3 linked regions of the Saccharomyces cerevisiae S288C genome follow. The main gene of each other region encodes a partner of the protein of the gene in region 2 in a complex. Each region holds a gene or a part of one and is shown on either strand. Other genes may lie near its edges. A codon is read from its position in the direction of its gene.

Region 1 (3,162 bases), on a different chromosome or scaffold from region 2:
GTGACCTCGGCTCCTGCTCTCAAGCTGATATAACAATTGAAAACAGACATCAACTCAGCGAACTACAAGAATGGGTCAATGACAATTGTACGTTGCCATATACTCCACCAGAACTTCTGAACTTGAAATTAAATCAGGTTTTGAGCTCTAAGGTTGATATTTGGTCTTTGGGTTGTACGTTCTATACTTTAATGTTCGGTATCTCCCCCTTTGAGCGAGAAGAGCAGATACATGGAGCTTCTTTAACCTACGCTATAAACACTGGTAAGTACAGTTTCCCGAGAAATTCCAGATTTTCTGAGGGGCTTTTGAGTGTAATCAAGAAATGCATTCAAGTGGATCCTATACAAAGGCCTACTACCAGCCAATTATTAAATCTTTTACAAGATTTAGACACTTGATCGGTTTTGCTTCTCAAAGCTTTTTCCTGTCCTTGGGAAGTAAACAGGACACGATGATTGGCTGGCTCCATGCAATGTGTTCACTCTGATCAATGAAGATTACCTACCGCTGTTTAGATTTATTTTGTGAATGAAAATTTTTACTTTAAGTTTTTCTTCATTTAAACATTAAATATCTAATGAAACGAATAAAATACACAAGATAAACGAAATCCGTATTTATTATATATATGCTAACAGGTAAAGCACCAACATCACATTCTCCTTCTCTTACCAACGGTAGCTTGGAAACCGGTTTTAATAGAAGAGACGGATCTGGTAGAACCACAACTTTTACAGACCATAAAGAACAGTCTGTTTGACTGTTCTCTCTTCAATTCGGTGTTAATACTCTTACAAGTTTTACAAGTGACATACTCCAAAATGTATCTTCTTAAGACATTCTCCATTTGTTTGGATTGAAACTTACCCTTAATGACTAATCTTTTCTGACCGTCAACAGAACCGGACGTACCTAATTCTGCGAAGAGATATTGAATCAAATGTTCCGGAGATCTATGCAATTTTTCGGCGATATCTTGGATATTCGAGAAAATAGTCTTCTTACCATCACGCAAACAAACAGGAGGAGGAATTCTGAACTTTGGACCACTTCTATCACCAGCAAGTTCTGGATTGTTAGTTCTTAGAATATTGAAAAATCTAGATAATAACTCTGAATAAGGTAGGCCAACTTCTTGTTGAATGCTGGAATTAGCACTTGGAGTGCCTTCTTTGCTTTCAGCATCCACATTATCTAGACCAGCTTTAGCTAGTTCTTTCTCAAACGCGTCTACACTGCTGTCCTTTGTCTTTTTCTTTTTCTTCTTCAAGGATAGTTCACCCAAGGCTTCTGCTATGTCGTCAGTAGGCTCTTTTTCAGCTTCAGCATCGGCAGAAACGCTCTTGGACTTCTTCTTTTTCTTTTTTAATCCGGCAAATAAATCATCTCCTGAACCATTTTCTTTGCCGTTTACGGCAGCATCAAAATCATCTGGGATCACCTTCTTAGTCTTCTTTTTCTTCTTTAGTGCAGGGTCGAATCCTAACTCAGCAGCTAAATCGGAGGACATCTCGTGCGTGCTTATTATATGACTGGTTGCCTAGGCGCTTTTCGGTTGATGTGCAAGAAGTTTCCTAGTCTCTCTTATAATGTCTTCTTCTACTTTCTTTTTCTTTTTTTCCATCAATTTCACTTTTTCTCGCAATTACAAAATTTTTCACTCCGTCGTTGATGAGGACTCCGGCTCTGCGGGTAATGAAATGGAAAGTTCAATGCATTCAAAATATACGCTTTTGAAGCGGTTACTTAGTTTGTGAGAGAAATATACATTATTACTGTAACTCTTTTCTAAATTTTTTGTATTTATTAATGCATTTCTGCTGGTTCCATCCTTTTATCTTCTCCGGTACCAAGAAATAAAATATCATGCTCAATGGATATTACGGCTTTTATTCCACGAAGAAAACAAGCTCTTTACTTTAGTCTTTATTTATATTCAGTTTCTCGGTTTCTTCTCTTAAAGCCTCGGTGGCTTCCTTGGTGACTTGTTCAATTTCTGTACCCTTTGTGATTTGGACCGAATTCTTGCCCTCAGTTTGTGTGTCTTCTTCATCATCTTCAGGTTCGACATCATACTTCTTCAAAAAGTATGTTTCCACTTCTTCCTTCCCGCTGTTCTCGGCCTCAAAGATAGCATCGTGGCCGAATTTGTTTCTAATAAAGGGGTCTGCCTCATATTCATCACACAGTAGCTTGACCACGTCTAATTTGCCATTCAACGACGCCCAATGTAAAGCCGTGTTGCCTGTTTTGTTCACCTCATTAACAAAAGCTTTCAAGTCTTCGGCACTATTTGCGCGAGAAACCGTCTCCAGTATATACCGAACGGTCTCTATATGACCGTTGGCAGCAGCCATATGTAAAGCCGTAGAATCAGATTCACTTTCCTTACAAGTCGAAAGTAACTCGGGACTGACTAAAGTTGTAAATATATCTTTCAGAGAATCCAAATCGCCAGCTCTTGCATCGAGTATTATGGTGTCTTGGTCCTCTTGATCTAACGGTTCACTGTGTAGGCCCATATCTGCGTATATGTAGATTTTTTTTTTCTATTTGGAAATAATTACTTTCTTTGAGATAGAGCGCGAACAATTTTGCCTATCGTATTACAATTCGTTTTTGTTTTACACAAATGATAATTAACTCATCGATTTTTTCTCAGATTCTCTTTTTCTTTTATTACTTTTCCTTCTTATTCTATGAAAATTTCATATCATCGTTCATGGTGATATTACCACGGTGACATCAAATGGAATTGTCCTATTTTTCTTTTCCTGTAATTAGTGGCGCGGGACTTTTTATTCCTCGTGGCAAAGAATGGCTACTAAGAGGAGAATAAGAGATGGTTAGAAGTATTTGGAAGCTTGATGACAGAATATTTTAAAATATAACTTAGCTTGCGTGTGCGTATTTGTATTCTTCGTGGTTACGATATGAACCAACGTGCAAGCGTGTGATATATCACATTCCGGAGGGTGTCACCCCCCCTCTCTCAACACAGTAATCCATAAACCAGTTTTACATACACGTAAAAAAGAACAGGAATAAAGCTTAATCGGATTATTAACTCATACGCTTGTCACATATTGTTCGAACAATTCTGGTTCTTTCGAGTTTCGCAGAACTTTTTGAATTTTTCTTTTTTTTCTAGAACGCCGT
Region 2 (3,755 bases):
TCCCTTCCTCCTAGCCCGTTTCTTATCTTCACTTTCTTTCAGATTAATTATGAAATTTTTGTCTTTGCAGTGGTTTTATTGGTTCCTTAAGCGATGGGTTCCAATGTAGTACCCTTTTTAATGGTTGCCCAACCAATCAAACGCCAATGCTTTTCGATACGTCTCGACAAAGCAATCTTCTCGTTAATTTCAGTACAAGCGGGCGACGTTAACTGTAATCTTGCCATATCAGCTTTAACGGCAACCACACGAGCCCCCGTAGCGGTAGAACCAATGTTGACCATAAGAACTTCATTTGGCTCTAATTTTCTGACTTTGGCTTGCTTTTGACCATCTGTTTTGACACCTAATAGACGACGTAGCAAAAAGTAGTTGATTTCGATATCAGTATAAATGTTTGGCAAATGACCCTTAGCACCGACGACTTGACCGACAAGACGATCAGCTCTACACAAGGTAGGATCAACTTTAGTACCAACACCAATCAGACCACCGGGAACAGCAAACTTCAAGTCATTTTGTTCGGCAAATAAGGAGACAATGTTAGAAAAGATTGGTTTACATTGAATTTTACCCTTATCATCCTTGGTGACAATACCTGGTCTAATCTCAATTTCATCACCTAATTTGAAAACACCATTCAAAATAGAACCACCGGCAACACCACCTTTCAGGTCCTCGATTTCAGCACCTGGCTTATTAACATCAAATGAACGAATAACAATTAACCTTGGAGAAATCATAAAATCTCTTGGTGGTACGGGAATAGTCTTGACAATAAATTCATTAACTGCGTCGATGTTATACTTCAACTGAGCGGATATTGGTACAATAGGAGCACCGTCAGCAATGGTACCTCTGATGAACTTCAAGATGGATTTTTGGTGTTCTAAGGCACTTTCTTCACGCATTAAATCGACCTTATTCTGTAAGATGATGACGTGCTTTAATTTCATGATTTCAATGGCAGCTAAATGCTCTGAGGTTTGAGGTTGTGGACAAGATTCATTACCTGCAATCAACAGTAACGCAGCATCCATAACAGCAGCACCTGATAACATAGTACTCATTAAGATATCGTGACCGGGACAGTCAACAAAAGAAACGTGACGGACCAATTTGTAACGCCCCGGACAACCTGGTCTTTGACATTTAGGACTGATTTCTTTATCAGATTTGAATGATCTATAACAATCAGGTTCGGGACATGTAGGCTCTTGACATTTATAAATTTTAGCATTAGCGTAACCTAACTTAATAGTAATGTTACGTTCTAATTCATCCTTAAAACGGACTGTTTGGACACCTGAAATAGCCCTAACTACTGTGGATTTACCGTGGGCGACATGACCGATGGTACCGATGTTTATTGTAGCTTGCCTGTTGATAATTTCGGCGGATAGTGGGTTTAATTTTGAAAAATCAGGGTTTAATGGTTGTTCGGGCAAACCACCACCTTCTTCAAATTCCCTTTTCCTTTTTTCTTCTTCAGTTTCCCCGTCTTCTTCCAAGCCAGTGAAGGCGACTTTCTTCTTTGGCTTATCAGCATCTTGTGTTTCTTGTGTTTCTTGAGCTACAACTTCCGTTTCTTCAACGATATCTGGTTCACCAACTGGTTCCAAATTACCGTTGATAATAATGCTAGGTTCTTGGTCTTGTAAGTCACTCATGTCTACCTCTAATGCGCGATGTTAACGGTGTATTACGCTCTTTCCGCCCTCTTTGCTTAGCTCCTGGTACAGGTCGAGATGAAATCTCTGTCTTTTGTACTGATGATCAGCATCGGGCTATTCTATGAAAATTTTTTCAATGGCAAATCTGGTCCGGGTTACTGACATGAGAGCAAATAATAAGCATAAATTAAAGCATATTGATATACTTCATATAACAAGTATATATCACATCACGCCAAGCTTACGCATAATGCTAGTAATAAATAGATAAACAAAGAGCGTTCTTATTGATCTAAGGTCGCCACCTTTCTACCCACACGACTGCGGTCAAAATCAATATCGAATCTTGAGTTGATGACGTTACGTTTCTTGGAATTTAGAGATGTAGCTGAAGATGCCGAAGAGGATGTGCCATCAGCATTGCCAGCAACTATTTCAATATCTGTCTCATCATCTGCTTCCAACCCATTACTTGCCACTTCCCGCGGTTGGATCTGTAAAATTTCATGGCCTGTATTTAATTTTTCCTTTTCTGTGGGAACGGAAACTGCGGAACTTGAATGATCATTGTCTGCGCTCATGGTCAAGCCATTGAAGGTTTTCTGCAAATTCTTCATCGATGGTGTTTTAGATATATTCCTACTGTCAATGTGGCCTTCCAAATCGAAAAACCCGCCATACCTGTTCAAATTTACCTGTGATGAAGAAGATGTTTTGCGGGAGCCATTGACTGTATGGCCGTTACGTTTCGGAGGATTATTGACTGCATTGTCCATTTCATACAATTTATCGACCACTGGACTGATCTTCACGCCAGTTTTATTATGAGAAGTGCCGCGTGACATCCTCCAGTAGGAACGAATTTCGCCTAACACCCAACTTAACATAAACATTAACCTGTCACCCTGTCGAAATTGCGATGTCACGGTCAAATCTACTTGATCATCTTTAATGATGTACCCTATTCCAAAGCCATGAGGTACAGCAGGAGTTATACCAAATGTCGTGGTAGCAGCATTACCACAGTTGGCAACAATCAACTCAGGCTGTGAGAAAGGTAAAACAAGTGGATTTTCGAAAAGATCTTTCGCAGCAGATGATTCATCACCACTTAAGTGGATACCAAAATGGTCATGAAATTTGAAGAGATATTTCAATGCATTGAAGTGTTTTTCATAACCTACCCCAGACTTTGCATGTTTAACCATGTTATTATGTGTTTCGCAGGTTTGGATAAATTTGTCTAATTTATCTGTCCCATCAATGGAGCTAGAAATAAACAATTGACATAGTTCCAACAGCGCTTGACTTTGAATGTTAATAAAAGATGATCTCGAGTTTTTGAAACCACGTGTGGATACTGGTTCTAATCCAAACACCATTCTTCCATACAAAGCATAGTGAGCTATTTGTAAAGCTACTTGAACCATCGAATCGGGCTTGACTCCTAATCTTTGAGCTGACCTTCTGCCCAATGGAATAGAAGCGCGAACAATATCATACTTGGAAATCAGATCAGCTAGTTTGGTTTCTGACAAATGGACATGTGTGTTCAGGATGTTACTGAAAGACCAATCGATTTTATTTACAACCAACTTAGGGTCAATTTCAGAAGGGCCTCCGCCGTCGGCACTTATGGTCGCCGTCATCAGTTTTTTAGTTTCAGGATCCATTTGTGTCACGTTAGGCCAGAGTGAAAACTGTGGGTCACCGGCGTTAACGTCTCTAGCTAATCTCAAGACTGATTCTGTATAAATTTCAGAAGTAAACCGAAGCACGACTGACCCGTCACATGTGAAGGAATCCCAAATCACTGTGGCTTTTGCATCTGCAGTGACAACTAACTGTAATTTATCATACCAACGAGAAACACATGAACCCACTTGATGGCCTTTGCTATTTATTATAGAAGTACCGTAAAACACTCTCTTACAATTGGCGGAAGTACATTTCTTGTCTCGCTCAGTGATAGTCCTGTTAAACATTTGACTGATATCAGCGGTATCATCGCCATCATTGGTAGTTTCTTCTTGTGATTCGTCCAGCACTAACACGAACAGAGCAGAGTCTATGCGATGTAAT
Region 3 (3,256 bases), on a different chromosome or scaffold from region 2:
TAAAAAACGTGACTACGGTTCTCAGTACTACCACATTTATCAATACCGTCTAAAGACTTTCAGAGAACGCGTCTTAAAAGAATGTGACAAGAGATGGGATGCGGGCTTTACCTTGAATGGCCAATTAGTTCTAAAAAAGGACAAAGTGTTAGATATTCAGGGAAACCAACCATGTTGGTGCGTAGGATCCATATATTGCGAGATGAAATATAAACCAAACGTACTGGACGAAGTGATCAATGATACATATGGTGCACCAGATTTAACTAAAAGTTATACTGATAAAGAGGGTGGTTCTGATGAAATTATGCTCGAAGATGAAAGTGGGAGAGTGCTTCTAGTGGGAGATTTTATTCGGTCTACACCCTTCATCACGGGTGTTGTTGTAGGTATACTGGGTATGGAAGCTGAAGCCGGGACATTTCAAGTTTTAGACATATGCTACCCCACTCCTTTACCACAAAATCCTTTCCCTGCACCAATTGCTACCTGCCCCACCAGGGGAAAAATTGCTCTTGTTTCTGGGTTAAACCTCAATAATACATCACCTGATAGGCTATTGAGATTGGAGATTTTGAGAGAATTTTTGATGGGGAGAATCAATAACAAAATTGACGACATTTCTCTAATTGGTAGATTACTGATATGCGGCAACTCTGTTGACTTCGACATTAAAAGCGTGAACAAAGACGAATTGATGATTTCTCTAACTGAGTTCAGTAAATTTCTACACAACATTTTGCCATCTATATCTGTTGATATTATGCCCGGAACCAATGATCCAAGTGACAAATCTCTACCGCAACAGCCTTTCCACAAATCATTGTTTGATAAGTCCCTAGAATCATACTTCAACGGTTCTAACAAAGAAATTTTGAATTTAGTGACCAACCCATATGAGTTTAGCTATAATGGCGTAGACGTTCTAGCCGTTTCAGGCAAAAATATCAATGATATTTGTAAATACGTAATACCATCAAATGATAACGGAGAAAGTGAAAACAAGGTCGAGGAGGGCGAGAGTAATGATTTCAAAGACGATATAGAGCATCGCCTGGACCTTATGGAATGTACAATGAAATGGCAAAACATCGCGCCCACCGCACCTGATACCTTATGGTGTTATCCGTACACTGATAAGGATCCATTTGTATTGGATAAGTGGCCCCACGTTTACATTGTGGCAAACCAGCCATATTTTGGAACAAGAGTAGTGGAAATAGGTGGTAAGAACATAAAGATAATATCTGTCCCTGAATTCAGTTCTACTGGGATGATAATATTACTGGATTTGGAAACGTTAGAAGCAGAGACGGTCAAGATTGACATTTAAATAAAACAAGGAATAATTTCCACATAGATATGCAATTAAGTTTTATATGTAAAAGTGAGCATTCATCGTTCAGCTCAAAATACGTTTCTTGTCACAGCTGGTAGAAAAACTATGAGCGTTTTTTCTTACCCGCAGTCGGAGAAAAATTTTTTCTTCGAAGAGGCGAAAAAGAGAAGAAGAGAAAGCACAAATCTGATGAAATAGTAGTATAAAATCGCATTTACAAATTTTCAACCATTGTTTATTTCCTAGGTCATTAAAGAGTAAAGTGCAATCTGTTTACTAATCAGTTTTTGTCTTCATATTTTTGTGTCTTTTCTGCTGCCTCACGCACCTTCTATAATACACCAAATAATGTCCACTTCTCATTGCAGATTTTATGAAAACAAATACCCAGAAATTGACGATATCGTCATGGTTAACGTCCAGCAGATTGCTGAAATGGGTGCTTATGTTAAATTGTTAGAATATGACAACATTGAAGGTATGATTCTACTAAGTGAATTGTCCCGTAGACGTATTAGGTCAATCCAAAAATTAATTCGTGTTGGTAAAAATGATGTCGCCGTTGTTCTTCGTGTCGACAAAGAAAAAGGTTATATTGATTTGTCCAAACGTCGTGTTTCTTCTGAAGATATCATTAAATGTGAAGAAAAATACCAAAAATCTAAGACTGTTCATTCCATTTTAAGATACTGTGCCGAAAAATTCCAAATCCCTTTGGAAGAACTATATAAGACCATTGCTTGGCCATTAAGTCGAAAATTTGGTCACGCTTACGAAGCTTTCAAACTATCCATCATTGACGAAACTGTTTGGGAAGGTATTGAACCGCCATCAAAAGATGTTTTAGATGAATTAAAGAACTATATCTCCAAGAGATTAACACCACAAGCTGTAAAGATTAGAGCCGATGTTGAAGTGTCTTGTTTTAGTTACGAAGGTATCGATGCCATTAAAGACGCATTAAAATCAGCTGAAGACATGTCCACAGAACAAATGCAAGTTAAAGTTAAATTAGTCGCCGCCCCATTATATGTTTTGACCACCCAAGCCTTGGATAAGCAAAAAGGTATTGAACAACTGGAAAGCGCTATTGAAAAAATTACAGAGGTTATTACAAAATACGGCGGTGTTTGCAACATTACCATGCCACCAAAGGCTGTCACTGCTACTGAAGACGCTGAGTTACAAGCTCTATTAGAAAGCAAAGAATTAGATAATAGATCTGACTCTGAAGACGATGAGGATGAGTCAGACGACGAGTAATCATTGCCGCGCCTAATTTTTCTAGGTGTTTTCAAGTGTCATACTGTTTTAGAAAATTTTGTATAGAACAAATACGTATATCCTGCCATATCATATTCTTTGCAATATACACCTTGTACATTTGGCTATTATAAATATTACAATCCATTTAATCATAATCAAAATTTAATTTCTGTTACCACGGGGTTGTCAGTGGAGCATGCCCTGCCGGTTCTCTATAATTTATCTTTTTCACATGAGATATTTTTACCTCAAAAGGTAGTGATGCTGTAATAATATGAGGCTCCCCCCTTTCCTTCGGAATTGCATTTAAATCATTGGGGAACACTAAGACAAGACAAAGGGGCCGTCCACTCATGTGATTTTCAACAAAACAGATAACATGCGGATACACACTGATATATTTTCAAAGGAAAGTCTGACTGATACTTAAGTGAAGTGGTCCTAGTCGGTGGCTTAGGTGGACTACAGTGCAAAGAATAGAATTTTTCAAACATGTCAATACGTCCAGCAACACATGCAGGCTCATGGTATTCCAATAGAGCCCAAGAATTATCTCAACAACTGCATACATACTTGATCAAAAGTACCCTTAAAGGCCCAATTCACAACGCCAGAATTATCATATGTCCTCATGCCGGTTACAGGTATTGT

The links.
Region 1: the proteins of GCD11 (region 2) and SUI3 are in contact, whole or in part, in a cryo-EM structure (PDB 6QG0), measured with the Saccharomyces cerevisiae proteins. Residues at the interface, in NP_010942.1 of Saccharomyces cerevisiae: Gln248 (codon at 929), Val251 (codon at 920), Asp252 (codon at 917), Met254 (codon at 911), Arg255 (codon at 908), Glu256 (codon at 905), Ala259 (codon at 896), Leu260 (codon at 893), Gln263 (codon at 884), Leu267 (codon at 872), Ala278 (codon at 839), Ile280 (codon at 833), Val281 (codon at 830), Pro282 (codon at 827), Ile283 (codon at 824), Ser284 (codon at 821), Leu287 (codon at 812), Tyr289 (codon at 806), Asn290 (codon at 803), Asp292 (codon at 797), Ala293 (codon at 794); in NP_015087.1 of Saccharomyces cerevisiae: Val127 (codon at 1,135), Gly128 (codon at 1,132), Tyr131 (codon at 1,123), Ser132 (codon at 1,120), Leu134 (codon at 1,114), Leu135 (codon at 1,111), Arg137 (codon at 1,105), Phe138 (codon at 1,102), Phe139 (codon at 1,099), Ile141 (codon at 1,093), Leu142 (codon at 1,090), Arg143 (codon at 1,087).
Region 3: the proteins of GCD11 (region 2) and SUI2 are in contact, whole or in part, in a cryo-EM structure (PDB 6I3M), measured with the Saccharomyces cerevisiae proteins. Residues at the interface, in NP_010942.1 of Saccharomyces cerevisiae: Asp322 (codon at 707), Asn324 (codon at 701), Lys325 (codon at 698), Pro326 (codon at 695), Gly327 (codon at 692), Ala328 (codon at 689), Glu329 (codon at 686), Ile330 (codon at 683), Glu331 (codon at 680), Leu333 (codon at 674), Lys334 (codon at 671), Gly335 (codon at 668), Ile359 (codon at 596), Ile373 (codon at 554), Phe374 (codon at 551), Lys401 (codon at 470), Val402 (codon at 467), Asp403 (codon at 464), Pro404 (codon at 461), Thr405 (codon at 458), Leu406 (codon at 455), Arg408 (codon at 449), Arg411 (codon at 440); in NP_012540.3 of Saccharomyces cerevisiae: Val190 (codon at 2,255), Ser191 (codon at 2,258), Cys192 (codon at 2,261), Phe193 (codon at 2,264), Ser194 (codon at 2,267), Tyr195 (codon at 2,270), Gly197 (codon at 2,276), Ile198 (codon at 2,279), Ile201 (codon at 2,288), Lys202 (codon at 2,291), Leu205 (codon at 2,300), Lys206 (codon at 2,303), Glu209 (codon at 2,312), Asp210 (codon at 2,315), Val220 (codon at 2,345), Leu222 (codon at 2,351), Val223 (codon at 2,354), Ala224 (codon at 2,357), Ala225 (codon at 2,360), Pro226 (codon at 2,363), Tyr228 (codon at 2,369).

Annotation. Positions count from the first base shown.
Region 1 is NC_001148.4:98,847-102,008, reverse strand, and holds SUI3 (translation initiation factor eIF2 subunit beta), read right to left. Parts: upstream 1,514-3,162; coding exon 656-1,513; downstream 1-655. Other genes in the region: putative serine/threonine protein kinase ENV7, read left to right, coding at 1-401; YAR1 (Yar1p), read right to left, coding at 1,923-2,525. UniProt on the Saccharomyces cerevisiae protein: Component of the eIF2 complex that functions in the early steps of protein synthesis by forming a ternary complex with GTP and initiator tRNA.
Region 2 is NC_001137.3:203,166-206,920, reverse strand, and holds GCD11 (translation initiation factor eIF2 subunit gamma), read right to left. Parts: upstream 1,671-3,755; coding exon 87-1,670; downstream 1-86. Other genes in the region: carnitine O-acetyltransferase YAT2, read right to left, coding at 1,958-3,755. UniProt on the Saccharomyces cerevisiae protein: As a subunit of eukaryotic initiation factor 2 eIF2, involved in the early steps of protein synthesis.
Region 3 is NC_001142.9:449,333-452,588, forward strand, and holds SUI2 (translation initiation factor eIF2 subunit alpha), read left to right. Parts: upstream 1-1,687; coding exon 1,688-2,602; downstream 2,603-3,256. Other genes in the region: DNA-directed DNA polymerase delta subunit POL31, read left to right, coding at 1-1,333; MHO1 (Mho1p), read left to right, coding at 3,098-3,256. UniProt on the Saccharomyces cerevisiae protein: eIF-2 functions in the early steps of protein synthesis by forming a ternary complex with GTP and initiator tRNA. This complex binds to a 40S ribosomal subunit, followed by mRNA binding to form a 43S pre-initiation complex.